Linked DNA regions of Stegostoma tigrinum. The protein of the gene in region 1 purifies or fractionates together with the protein of each later gene. This does not show direct contact. Links are inferred from orthologs where the notes say so. Each region holds a gene or a part of one and is shown on either strand. Other genes may lie near its edges.

What was found. The genes of interacting proteins can lie anywhere in the genome.
Region 2: the proteins of rab11a (region 1) and evi5a purify together in Homo sapiens (co-immunoprecipitation; 3 studies listed by BioGRID and IntAct, with this or other methods). This does not show direct contact. The link is inferred for Stegostoma tigrinum from reciprocal best matches to the Homo sapiens genes RAB11A and EVI5.

Annotation. Positions count from the first base shown.
Region 1 is NC_081386.1:35,467,197-35,474,687, reverse strand, and holds the start of rab11a (ras-related protein Rab-11A), read left to right. Parts: upstream 1-4,491; 5' UTR 4,492-4,640; coding exon 4,641-4,680; intron 4,681-7,491. UniProt on the Homo sapiens protein: The small GTPases Rab are key regulators of intracellular membrane trafficking, from the formation of transport vesicles to their fusion with membranes.
Region 2 is NC_081361.1:86,050,577-86,057,641, reverse strand, and holds the start of evi5a (EVI5-like protein), read right to left. Parts: upstream 3,001-7,065; 5' UTR 2,773-3,000; intron 1-2,772. UniProt on the Homo sapiens protein: Functions as a regulator of cell cycle progression by stabilizing the FBXO5 protein and promoting cyclin-A accumulation during interphase. May play a role in cytokinesis.

The DNA.
Region 1 (7,491 bases):
GGTCTGGGTGGGATGTATCAAGGGGCGGTGTGGACTTGTTGGGCCGAAGGGCCTGTTTCCACACTGCAGGGAATCTAAATCTAATCACTCTGGTTACACTCTTCCACCTCTTCCATCAGGCAGAAGAGACAAAACCTTGAAAACACTTACCTACAGATTCAAGAACAGCTTCTCCCTGCTGTTATCAGACTTATGAACAGATGTCTTATAGATCAGAGTTGATCTCTCTCTGCACCTTCTCTGAAGCTGTAACACCATAAGCTGCATTCAGTTCTTTTGCCCTGATGTACTTATGTAAGGTATGAGTTGCCCAGTTAGCACACAATACAATACATTTCACTGTATCCCGATACATGTGACAATAGTAAATCAAATCAAATTTTAACTTTAAAATTTCAATCAATGACAGATCAAGGTGGAGCTGGAAGAACACAGCAGGCCAAGCAGCATCAGAGGAGCAGGAAAATTGAAGTTTTGGGTCAGGACCCTTCTTCAGAAATGGGGAGGAGGAAGGGAGCTCTAAAATAAATAGAGAGGATGGGGTGGGACTGGGGATGGTAGGTGGGATGGTGATAGGTGAGTGCAGGTAGGCAGGTTAGGGATGGGTCAGTGAGGTAGGAGGGGTGGATAGGTGGGTGAGAAGATGGACAGGTTGTGTCAGGTCAAGGAGGCAGGGATGGGGGGGGGTTGGACATATGATGAGGCCTGGATGAGGAGATTTTTAAACTGGTGAAATTCATGTTTAGGACGTTGGGGCCATTTGGATTTATGCATGTTTAAAACATGGGAAGTTAAAAGCAGCACAAAGGCTGTACATTAACAGCTGATGAAGTGGCTTTTACACCTTCAGAAAGATGCTTGTCACATTGATTACCAAAAACAAAATGCTCAAATCCTGCATCTGACATAAAAAACAACATTGAAATTAGTTTCTCATATCCAGATAAAAATGCTTGTTAAAAGAAAAAGTTTGAAATATTGGTCAGATTTTGGAGTTGGGCAAATATTAAGCTTGTCAACCAAACCTTTTCTACATTTTGCATTGAAAAGTTGCTGTTAGCCAATTCCTAAAAAAAAGCAAACCACCTTTGACTTCTGTGAAGAAGGAAAGTCACTATGGAGCCAATCAAATTGAAGAATCTAAATGTGAAGTCTCTGCTGGAATACTTGATTCACTATCAAATCTGGTTCATAAAGAGAGAGAAAGAAATTTTAGATTAAAATGGAAAACAAAAGAAACAACTATTTCTATTATAGAGATAACAAAGTGTGGAGCTGGATGAACACAGCAGGCCAAGCGACATCTTAGGAGCACAAAAGCTGACGTTTCAGGCCTAAGGTCTACGCCCGAAATGTTAGCTTTTGTGCTCCTAAGATGTTGCCTGGCCTGCTGTGTTCATCCAACTCCACACTTATTTCGGATTGTCCAGCATCTGCAGTTCCCATTATCCCTGAACTATTTCTACTTATGCTTTAAACTGATTTTCAATCACAACAATTTCTTTAAAAATGTTTCAAAAAAATCGACATCTGAAAGAATCAAACTTCATATCAGGGAAAAAATAATTTTCAGAGGCACAAGTTACTTGCCAGTAATTAAAGCTTATTACACTACTAAAATAATGCTTTTTTGGAGTCAGGTGATCCTGAAAAGAAGGACTTGCATTTATACAGTGCTTGTCATGACACTGCCAGTTTCAAAGTTTTACAGAAAATGGATCATTTTTTGAAGTGTAGTCTCTGTTGTAATGTACGGAACACAGCAGCTAATATCCACTCGGCAAACATTCATAAACAGGCATGTAATAACAGCCAGATAATCTGTTTCTTCTTCTGATGTTAGTAGCTATGAGGATTTATAGCTGGCCACCCAAACATTTCAATGTCCATTTATGCTGAATGTGAGTCCAGGAATATATAGAATACTTGCAAAATCTCAGCACCTATCTTAAAAAGCCACTATTGACAAGTAGATCCATCACTAGCTCAGCTGTGCCAGATCCACCTTGTACAGACTAGGCTGAGATAACAGAGTTCTGCAGCAGACCAAAGCTCCTAGTTTACAAAAAGCTGTCATCATCATAATCCAGGACAGCAGTGAGACCTGGAATCTGAATATTCAAGAAATTCCAACCACACAGCCTCCACCACATCTTCTGAATTCAATGGGAGGACAATCACAAACTCCAAATGTGCAAAACATCTATAAAAGCCTGTTCTGCATCCGGGCAAGCACTGTCAATCCAGAGCTGACCTGCACGGTTCTCGATATTTGCCCTGGACATGACAGGGGGTAATCGCTGCCCCTCTGTGTGATTGGGAAGCTGGAGATCCTGCTAGGATGGGTTGGTGCTGATGTGGGATGTTCTCTTCCCCCACGGACCAGCAGAGGAGGCCCTGACACTGGGCCGTGCAAAGTCTGGACTGAGTTTAGCCCCACTCTTGGGTCAATGCAGTCTCAGTGTTTCGAGGAATGCCCAATGCTGTAGGAAGAAGGTCAATGTCCTTCTCCACTCCACCAGGATAACTGTCACCATCTTCTCTCTGATACCTCATCCTCACTCTCTCACACTGCACCCACCTGGGCCTGGTGCATGTGGTGACATTGGAGAATCCGCACAGCAGCAAAACATGTCACCTGAACAGTGGCAATTTCAATGTTGGTTGGGTCCAGTGTAGATGGTGGCAAGGCAGTGGAGGGGAGATGGCGTTACAGGTGTCCTTTAGGGTGAGCTGGCTCACAACTGACAGACTCTCTTTTTTAATTCTTAAAAATATTCAAAATCATGGCAACAGTGGAAAAGCTTTTCACTGTATTTTACTGTGTTTCTGACTGTAATATACATAGAACATAACAGCACAGTACAGGCCCTTCAGCCCTTGATGCTGTGCCGACCTGTCATACCGATCTGAAGCCCATCTAACCTACACTATTCCATGTACGTCCATATGCTTATCCAATGACGACTTAAATGTACCTAAAGTTGGCGAATCTACTGCAGACAAAGCGTTCCATTCCCTTACTACTTTCTGAGTAAAGAAACTACCTCTGACATCTGTCCTATATCTTTCACCTCTCAATTTAAAGCTATGCCCCCTCGTGCTTGCCGTCACCATCCTAGGAAAAAGGCTCTCCCTATCCACCCTATCTAACCCTCTGATTATTTTATATGTTTCAATTAAGTCACCTCTCAACCTTCTTTTCTCAAATGAAAACAGCCTCAAGTCCCTCAGCCTTTCCTCGTAAGACCTTCCCTCCATACCAGGCAACATTCTAGTAAATCTCCTCTGCAACCTTTCCAAAGCTTCCACATCCATGTGATGATAAAATCATAAATCACCTCCCACCATACTCTCCCACTCTCACAACTGACTGCGACATTCTCCCTCAGTCACCCTCACGCACCACAACCCCCCAACACCCCTAATCTTACATGTCTGATGTCTATTCACTTACTTGTGACACCATTCCATTAGTACCAACTGAATTAGCTGTGCCATCCCTTTCCACCTGCTGTAATATCTGCCTCCCTCTCATTCCAGAAAGAAAACAGCTCACAATATGGCAGAAAGACTCAAGATTCACCCTTCATGAGGAGAGGACCCTGCAGTGTTTGGAGACGTGTGGGTTCGCCATGGGAAGTGCAGGGAGGTGTCTGAGTGGGAAACAGAGCGAACATCGTTACCCCAGCCATCCTCTGGGTGGCGCTCCAACTACATGTTTCTCGCCGCAGTGACATCACGGTCACGGTCCCAGACCGCGTCCAATCAGAAAGAAGGTATCTAATGGCCTCGCCCTATGACGTATCAGACCCCGCCCCAAACGAAAACCAAAAGATTTGAGGTTCAGACGATATTGACAAACTTAGTGATTTATTGACAAATCTACCGTTACTATTAACTAATTTATTTATCTCGTGTTCATTAATTTATCAACAAATCCATTACTTAATTTATTAAGCCTCTGTTATTAACTAATTTTTCAAAAGCTTTTATTAATTTATATACAGTTATTTATTAACAGGCTTGTTTATAAATTAATATATTAATACACTTATTAATTATTTAATTAAGACTAATTAATACATTTATTAACAGACTTACAGGGGCATGTATTAAGTAATTTATTAATCCACTATTATTATTAACTAATTTATTTAGTTTACATTATCAGACTGTAAACGATTCATTAAGTTGACTGTTATCATTGAACTGAACTACTGAGTATCATTTATTAGTTAACGTAGTAATTAACTTATTATCGACTTTCTTAACACATTTAACCCAGTGTTACTTATGTATTAATTAACCCTGATTATTATTTAGTAACCCAGTGTTATTTATGTATTGATTAACCCTGATTATTATTTATTAACCCAGTGTTACTTATGTATTAATTAACCCTGATTATTATTTATTAACCCAGTGTTATTTATGTATTGATTAACCCTGGTTATTGTTTATTTATTGACTCAGTGTTATTTGTATATTAATCTATTGGTTCGCTCCCTTTTTGTTGACAATTTCCGGCACGGTCGGGCGGAAATACAATCTGGGAGAATTCCTGACGGATTGTGATCTTCGCACCGGAAGCGGAAACAAGCGGCTCCGGGAGTCTGTGGAACTTTCAGCCGAGAGCGATGGGCGCCCGGGACGACGAGTATGATTATCTGTTCAAGGGTGAGTCCCCGGCCCCGGCCAGCGAGGTGCCCGCTTCCCCCTGTCGGGCGACTGGGCCCCGGGGCCATGCCCCTTGATGGGGCATCAGTGCCCTCTTTCCCCCCGATCAATCCCCCTCCCCTTACCCAGGCCCCATCGGCCCATCTCCCCATTCCCTGGGGGCTCGCTCCTCTCGCCCCGTCGGCCTTTGTTGGTGTTGCTGTTGAACCAAAAGGTTGTTAATGATTAGACTTTGCTGAGAGCTGCATATTAATAGGAGGGAGCATTTCACTTGGGAATAGGCCGTCGTTATACTTCACACGTAGCAGGTACTTTCCCAAAACTGGACATTGCTGTGTTTAACCTTTATAAAGAAAACATCCTTAGTGCCTACTGTCGATGTCTTAATTCTGAGTTAGTTTTAGTTGACTTCAACTGAGTTTTTAATATAGGAGAAATGGCCCGAATTTAGGGATTGGTGTGAGCTCCAAGAACTCCGGTAGAATGGATCTGGTGAAGAGTTAAATTGTCTTGCAACTGTTGGGCATTCTTCAGCTTTCGAAAACATTTGTCATACTGTGTTTTATTTGTATAGACTAATGGTAGGCCTGAAATGTTTGTACCCTTGTCTGCCAGATTAATGTAGCTAATTACTACTACTTTCTTGACTATAAAGCTCACTTCACTTAGTGCATTTTTGACTGCCAACTGAAATGGGGGTTCTTTTTAATCCAAAGCCTGAAAATTAATTCAGTTTTAAACAAACTACTGCAATTTGTGTGGTGTTTGAACTTTTGGTTCAAGTAGTTGGGGAGATACTTGTATATGACATGGCATGTGTGTGTACAGAATGTGACTTAACCTAAGTGGGTCAAATATTTAGTGGTTTCTTTTGAACTTTCTTTGAAACATGATATTATTCTGACTAGACAGATAACTCACCGTTTAAGAGGTAACAGTTGAAGGTACTACATTGTAGTTCAGTCTGTGGCACTTGATTCTTCTAACCTTCGATCACTGACATCCACCCCTACAATGTGGCAGCTATTAAGATTTTGAGGGATTTTAATTGACAGCTGTGTTTTTAGCACTGTAACAAAGCAATGAAGTACCAATAGTGTCATCACTAATCTTCCTGCATTTAACTTGTGACTTATCTCTGACTGAGGAGTAAAATTGGGGCCTGCAGCCAATATCAGTATTACGCGGATCCACTATTCAGTTCTGAACTGACACCAGAAACAAGTGGAGGTTTTCTGTTTCTTAGCACCTGTCAATGGTGTACCACTGATCAGCTGGTCCAAAGCTAAGTAGCATTGATGTCTTTGAGAATGTCTCCTATGAATAACCACAATTTTCCACTTCTTCATGTTGTTGTAATTAATTTTACTGTTTGCAAATTTGGCAATTACAGAAATTCCAGAATAGGGAGTTGCTAGAATTAAATTACAAATCCTTTTTGTGAAAAAATTGACAACGATTGCAATGCCACTACTAACTGACAACTTGTTTTTAATGTGGATTGAATGTAGATTATTGGAAACTAGCACTTCCAGTTGGAAGAAAAGTTTCTGGTCTCCAATGGACTGGAGAAAGGAAGGACTTAAATAGCTATGTTGTATAGGAGAGTAACATTTGGAGTAGCTTATAAAAACAAATGAAGCAGGTGTGAGGATATGGACGTCTAAGTATTGTAATCTTGGGCTTTCTGATTTCGTCTAACAGATGCAGCATAAAGGGATCCAGTACTGTCTACAGAGTACTTGTTGAGCTCTTACCACCTCTTCCTTTATTCCTGATAAATTTATTGCAAACTGTACTAGTTCCAAAGTAATAATGAAATCTTGTGCTTGTGACTTTTTTCTAGGGAGGAATGTTCTACGAGGTTGAAATTTTAAATTGAATTAAAAATTCACCAATGGCTAAATGATGCAATCTATTTCTTGGCACCACCTGCGATCACTTTGTTCGGATTTCCTTGAAGCCATGTTGCGTCATGAATTCAACTGAATCTGTTCAAGGGCTAGTGGTTCTAAAAAAGGAATGGTTGGGTGTGTCCACTTTGTACCAAGTGACAAATTTGGGGAGAAACAATGGCCAAGTTAGCAGTAAGGAATAGTTTTGGGAAATGAAGGCGTAATAAAAGATCATCAAATGATTTTTGTCATGCTGTTTACTGGCAGTGCCAGTATTTAAAATGCAATTTTGCACAAATGGAGAGGCCTGATTCACTACCACCCAAGCCAGCAATTTTAGACTGGGATTTTTAATCTCTAGTGCTTTTTTATTTACATTCTGATTTTGGGTTTTGCATCAAAGGAAATGCTTTGCATTTTAAAGCGATTCATAACAAAGGCATCTCATTTTATTTGGGCTTTTAAGTTACAGAACAGTTCTGGGTGTGTTGCTTTTAATGAGTACAATTATCAACTGAGGATTACTGTTCTGAGAGATGATACTAAAATTGAGGTGTTGGTGTTAATACTTGTTTGAGTAACTGCTCTGACCCAACAGCCCACTAAACCATGATGAGGACTGCTCTGAGTACTACTTTTGGAGAGCTGGGACAATAGTGATGGGATGGAACAAGTTGGATTGCAACTAGTACGACATCATGGCTCCAGTTGTATTTTCAGACAATGGTGTGGTTTTTATACACTCTAAGTATTGCAGACACTGGTCTATCTGACATTTGTTCTGCTGTAGTTAACTTCAGACTGAGTGCTTCCTGTTTTGTAATCCAGGAATATGAAATGCTAACTTGAATCAGTTAAACTTTGGTTGTCATAACACTGAGGAAAACAGCTTGAATTTTGTGAAGATGATGCTCTT
Region 2 (7,065 bases), on another chromosome or scaffold:
AAACTTGAAAGGGTTCAGAAAAGGTTTACAAGGATGTTACTGGGAATGGAAAGTTTGAAATATAGGAAGAGGCTGAAAAGGCCAGGACTTTCTCCTTGTCATGTCAAAGGCTGAGGGGTGACTTTTATGAAGATTTAGACAATCATGAGGGTAAGGGATTCCAAACGTAGAGGGCAATGATTTAAAGTGAGACAGGAAAAATGTTAAAAGGGACCTGAGAGGGTGGTGTGCATATAGAATAAGCTGCCGGAGGAGATGGTGGAGGTGGGTACAATTACAACATTTAAAAGGCATCTGGCTGGGTACATGAATAGTAAAGGTTTAGAGCGATATGTGCTAAATTCAGGCAAATGGAACTAGATCAGTTTAGGGTATCTGGTTGGCACAGACGAGTTGGACCACAGGGTCTGTTTCTGTGTTGTATAACACTGACTCAATAATGGATTTTTTTTTAAAAACAGACTACAGGAAGATCTGTAATGGAGCTCCCCAGGGCATCAATATTGGGAGCTTTAATTTTCCAAAGATATTAATGACCTAGACCTTGGTGCAGATGGTACAATTTAAACATTTATATGTGACAAAACATGGCAATATTGCGAACTGCACAGGTCATAATTTAGAACTTTAAGGTACAAAAAGGACAGGTTGGTGAAATGGACAGATAGATAGCAGATGAAATTCAATGCAGAGAAATGTGAATTATTTCATTTTGGTCAGAATTACATGTAGACCTCATGTAAAGAGAGCATCTCTAAAGAGGGTGCGGGAGCAGAGGGGCCTGAACAAATGTGCAACAGTCATTGAAGGTGGTACAACAGTTGACAGCATGGTTCAACAATCATACAAGATCCTAAGCTTTATTAATAGGGCATAGAGTACAAAACAATGGACTTCTTTTAAATTTGCATATAACACTAGCTTGGTCTGAACTAGAGTACTGCACCAAATCCGGCCGCCATACTTTAGGAAGGATGTGAAGGCACTGGAAAGAAAGAAAATGTTCATTAAAATGGTTCCAGGGATGAAGAAAAACAGTTAAGATGATAGATTAGAGAAGATAGGTCTGTTTTCCTTGGAGCAAAGAAAACAGAGAAGAGATTTGAGAGATGTATTCAAATTACAAGTCGTGTAGATGGAGTGAATAGGGAGAAACTTTCACCACTCATAACAGGATCAAGAATGAAGGCATACATTTAAAGAGATTGATAGAAGGAGCAAAAGAGAGTTGACAATGAATGGTTAAGGTCTGGAATGCACTACCCGAGTGTGGTGGAAGCAGGATTAACTGAAACATTCAAAAGAGCTGTTATCCAAAAACGAAGCTTGCACAAGATTACGAAGAGAAGCTAGGGGAACAGCACTAAGTGAATCACTCAGAGCGGATGGAGACATGATAGAATGAATGGCCTTCGTTTGCACTGTAACAGTTCTATGATTCTGTAAAAATTAAGTGGCCCACACAACTATTCCAATCACACATTTATGAAGGTACCAAGCTTGAAGCCTGTGGTTTTCACTAACTCTCTTCAGTAACCATTGTTATTCCAAATTCATATTTCTATCAATACATTATTCCATAACACCTCTAGCAATTTTGCCATTTGCACACAGTGTTGTCAGCTCTCTGTGAAAATCAACATTAATGTGAAATAATTCACTCATCTTAAAATATAACATACACTACACAGGAAAGTGCTGCACCAACTGGTTCTCACGTATGAACTTTCTTCGGGAAATGTTCTCTTCTTTCCTATCTGAAGGCATTGATTTCTGCAGCATTATAGTTTCTCTTGACCCTCACCTGCAGTCAGTGAATGTAAATAATCAGAGATTCAATACAGTCTTGAACTAGCCAAAGTTAACCAATTAGCGTTAAGGTGCAAAAATTGGCCACAGCACCAGTGGGGTGGGGAAAAAGAATATTCATCCAGGTCCCAAAAATGCAAAAGTGCAGTGAACTCATTACTGACTATGTAAAATAAAATTGAGTTTTATGCACGCGTCTTATACATTCAAAAGTGCCACCTACAATATATAGAAACAAAACCACGAATCAAAATGATAGTAAAATAACAATCACGCAGAATGTCACTTCAGTTGCCCAGGGTGATGTAGTAATTAATTCAACGTCATCCAGGCAGCAAAACATTGATTGAATTTCACTTCCCCATCCCAACCATTAACGAATACATTGAAAATGGACAAAAAAAAGTTGCGCCTTTAAAAAAGCATTTAATCCGCCCTTTTAGCTGCGCCTCAAAAGACAAAGCTCAACGAAATCATCGATAATGAATTAAAATGACACGGGTAAGCTTTTAATATGTCCTGGTTCGGACATCGGGACGATGCTGCTTTTACAGCCAGGCCCGGGTTCACTGCGTAGTACAGAGGAGCAGGGAAATCCCATCGCAGATCAGAGGCGAGACCATCCATCCCCAAACAAAATACCCATCCCTGAGAACAGGAGCGCAGGTAGCCTCCCCGCTCAAATGCTGGACACGGAAGTCTCGGGCCTACAGTCAACTCTCCCCTCACCACCACCGGGCCGCTTGGCTCTTCCCCACTGACTGCCCCAACCTCGGCAGGCGCATTTCGGGAGATCCCTCCTCCGAGGGTCTCCCTACTGCACCCCAAGCACCTACGTTCCTCCCCTCCCCACAGTCCCGCTGTTCGCGCGGTTAGTTTCGGGGTTTGAGAGGCGGGTGGGGGGCGGGAAAGGCCCCGAGAGCGCCGACCCCGGGCGTTAATAATTAAACGGCCGGCCCTTACCTTGGAAATATTTCACCCACACCGTCTCTCTCTTCCGCTTACTCGCGGGTTTAAAGATTAACTTTCCATAGATCCGAGCACCATCCCGCCCCTCACCCTCCTGCTCTTCGTGTCCCTGCCACGGTTCAGTGTCCGCTCAGTCTTTACACCTCCCGGCCGACCAGCCCGTTTCTCACACTCTCCCTGTCCCGGAGACGCACTCTTCCCATCCCCTCCCCCCGCCAAAGGCTGAGGGGGCGGAGCGAGTGACGCCAGACCCACCCCTATCCCCAAAGACCCTGCCCCTCTCCATCGGCGCACGCAAGCGGCGCTGTGGCTCCGCCCCCTGGCGGTGCGCGCGCGTATCCGCGCTGCCCTTTCTCGCCCCGCACACGGCGCGTGCCTCCGCCCTGTTGCGTGTATCAACATTGCTCCGCCCACGGTGCTTGTCTCCACCATAGCGGGTGCGCGCGCGTATCAGCACTGCCGAACCTCAAGAAGTTACCCTCCTACTTCCGGATAAACCTCAGGGGAACCCTCTCCTACTGCAACTCTCTTGTAATCCTCTATCCATCTTCGATCAGCCTCCCCCTCTCTCCCCTCCCCCATTTCTGATGAAGGGTCCAGGCAAAAACGTCAGCTTTTGTAGTCGTAAGATGCTGCTTGGCCTGCTGTGTTCATCCAGCTCCACACTGTTGTCTCAGAACTGTCCGCACCATTTCTCCCCAACCCCAGCCTGTCCGAGCAGCACCTCTGGGCTGGTATCATGGTTGACGATCGCTGAGGCTACAAGAGCAGGACGGAGGTATTCAACTCCCAAAGCCACTTTGCCATCGCCTCACTGGATCTTCGGACTGCTCTCTTATTCGAAAGTTGTGTTTTAACCTGAGGAACACCACACCTCAATTGAGGGGAAAAGGTTGAGAAGGAAAGTCCTTCGTGGTAATCTCAGCTGGTGCTGGAATTTAACCCAACTAGCTGAGCTAAATGGCCCTCTGTAAGGTACAAGTCAGGAGTGTGATGGAACACACTTCCCTTGCAGGATGAGTGCAGCTCGAACAATGCTCAAGAAGCTTGGCTCCATCCAGGACAAAGCAGCCTGCTGCACTGGCAGCTCATCAGTTTATGCATTCAAAGTTCATTCTTCGTCACCAACAATGCACAGTAAGAACAGTGTGAGGCATCTAAGAGTAAAATTGCAGTAACTCACCAGCACTCCCTTTATACCAATTTTCAAACACATGGTCTCTATCACCTGGAAGGATAAGGGTAGCTCATACATGGGAAAACCACCACATGGAAGTTGACCTGCAAGTCACACGCCTGACTTGGAAATATATGTCATTTTTTCATTGATGCTAGGTCAAAATGCTGAAAGCCCCTTCATAACAACATTGTGGATGTGCCACACTATATGGACTGCACTGTTGCAAAAAAAAGCTCACTACTAGATTCTCCAGGCCAATTCAGATTGGGCAATAGCTTTTTGCATAGCCACCAAACTTGAAAACAAAATAAAATTGCTGTCCATCTCCAGGCTCTAGTAATAAAGCAATACCATTGTTCCCTGCATCCTACCAAACCAGAACAATATAGCCACCCAGAAGCATTTAATGCATTCAGCCCATCTGAGCCAGAGCAATATGTTCTAATGCAGTCAGACAAAGGCAGAAATGCAACTAGTCAGTGTGTTGGACCAATCAAAAGCCAGAGCAATGCCTCCACCTGAGCCAATGCAATACAACCATCCAGAGTTGAAGCAATACTACCATTTAAACTAGAGCAATATAACTGTTCTGAGACACTGCAGTGTAGCCACGAAGTGCATGCAGCCAATGTTTAATGAGAGTATACACCCACCCAGAGCCAGGAATGCATTTAATGCAGTGCAGAAACTTCTGTAAACCCACGTGACAAACCTGACCCAGAGTATAAACTTTCAGTCAACAGCCCTTAATCAGTGGAGCAAGGGCAACACCAAATGCAGTACTAAAGCCTTCAACCAACGCGCACTGCGACACCGAGGCAGGGTTGCACGGACACGTTGTAAAAACTTTCAGGTTGCAATCCTGATCCAGGGAAGCAGCAATTGTATTGCAAAAATCTTCAACCCGTGCAGTCTGCAATGCAACAACGTGGAACACAAATGAAATTATTACAATTCATGAACCAACAGCTAACTGACACAGAAGGCTATCTTCTACCGTAAGGAAAAGAAAAGGATGCATTGCCTTGGCTGGGGGTGTTCTGAATGCAGCATAACAATCCTGAGCAAGCACAGATCAAACTCCACGGAATGAAAGATCATTGAGTCAGCACAATACACTCAGCCCTGAACCAATATAAACAGTAAAAATCAGGCACACCAGAGCAGATTAAAAATATTTGTAATATACCTGCATAGTGCTTATACAATGTAACAATACTGAACTGGCAAATAAAACACATTGAACAAGCAGAAAAATCCAGCAGCAACTAGGACCTGCACTGCATCAAGAATGAAGCAACATAGTACACAGCATTGCACCAGTACCCTCTTTATGTTGGAAAACGGATTAATTTAAACCCATAATGCAATTCCACTCGTAATAAAACTAATTTGAAAACCTTTCTTCTTATGAGGAAATGGACAAGTAGGTAGGAGAAAAATATAGTCTCAATGGTGCAGAACTATTCCATCCAATGTTACCCTCATTCAGACCTAATTTCTCACAGGTACAAGAACCCAAATCCCACTGAAGAACATCCACCTCACAACTTGACCCATCTGTCAGAAATCAGCCCATGCATTCTAGTTGGCATTTGGGGATATTGTTGCATGTGTTTCTCTCTCACGATCTCTCTAGCTATCTTTTGGGACATTCCACGGCTTTCTGTTTGGCAGGGGCAGGAATTCCCACTGAAAGGCTGATTACCAATGATTTTCACAGACATTGTCTGTTATTTCATCCAAGGCTGGTACTATCTTGCTGATTGTGCCGCTCCTAGACTTCTAGCATGTCTCTGTACATTAGTGGTTCCGTTTTGCTTTTATAATATGACTGAAAACTAGAAATAAGTCAAACCAATTCCACACTCTTCAGGTCTCCCTTCTTGGCCCTTGGCCTAGCCCAAGGCAGCCAACTTAGTGGTAGTGGTTTATGTTTACACTCTGGCATGCATAGGTATTGGCCAGTTATCAATCTCAGAGGTACAGGTGCTCAATTATATCATCTGTACAGTTTAGTCCAGCAATTTAGAGTCCTGTCTAATGCATTCTGGCTCCACATCCTCCAACTCCCATGCTCCTTTCCATCTCTTGTATTCCTTCTGGTGCTGCGAAAAGAATAGGTTCAGTATACAATTAATATTTATTGGTCAATAACCAAAACAGATGGGAGAATATCTTAACTTGTCAACGTTTCTACATATTAATACACGTTACGCATACTGTGGGAGCGAGAGAGACTCGCGGTTGGCGTGTGTTGCCTCCCAGGTGCCAATCTGTGATGTCTTGGATCATGTTTTTGGGATCCTTAAGGAGGAGGGGGAGCAGCCCCAAGTCATGGTCCATGCAGTCACCAATGACATCGGTAGGAAAAGCGATTGGGATGTAAGGCAAAAATTCAAGGAGCTAGAGTGGTTAGAGCTAGAACAAACAGAGTTATTATCTCTGGTTTGTTACCGGTGCCACTTGCTAGCGAGATGAGGATTAGGGAGAGAGAACAGTTGAACACGTGGCTACATGAATGGTGTAGAAGGGAGGGATTCAGATACCTGGATAATTGGGTCTCATTCTGGAGTAGATGGGACCTCTACAAATGGGATGGTCTACACCTGAACCAGAGGGGTACCAATATCCTGGGGGGGAAATTTGCTAATGCTCTTCAGGAGGGTTTAAACTAATTCAGCACGGGGATGGGAACCTGAATTATAGCTCCAGTGTACAGGAGGTTGAGAGTAGTGAGGTCATGATTAAGGTTTCAAGGTCACGGGAGTGTACCAGCAGGCAGGAAGGTGGTTTGAAGTGTGTCTACTTCAACGCCAAGAGCATCCGGAATAAGGTGGGTGAACTTGCAGCTTGGGTTGGTACCTGGGACTTCAATGTTGTGGCCATTTCGGAGACATGGATAGAGCAGGGGCAGGAATGGTTGTTGCAGGTTCCGGGGTTTAGATGTTTCAGTAAGAGCAGGGAAGGTGGTAAAAGAGGGGGAGGGGCGGCATTGTTTGCCAAGGACAGTATTACAGTGGCAGAAAGGAGGTTTGATGAGGACTCATCTAATGAGATAGTATGGGCTGAAGTTAGAAACAGGAAAGGACAGGTCACCCTGTTGG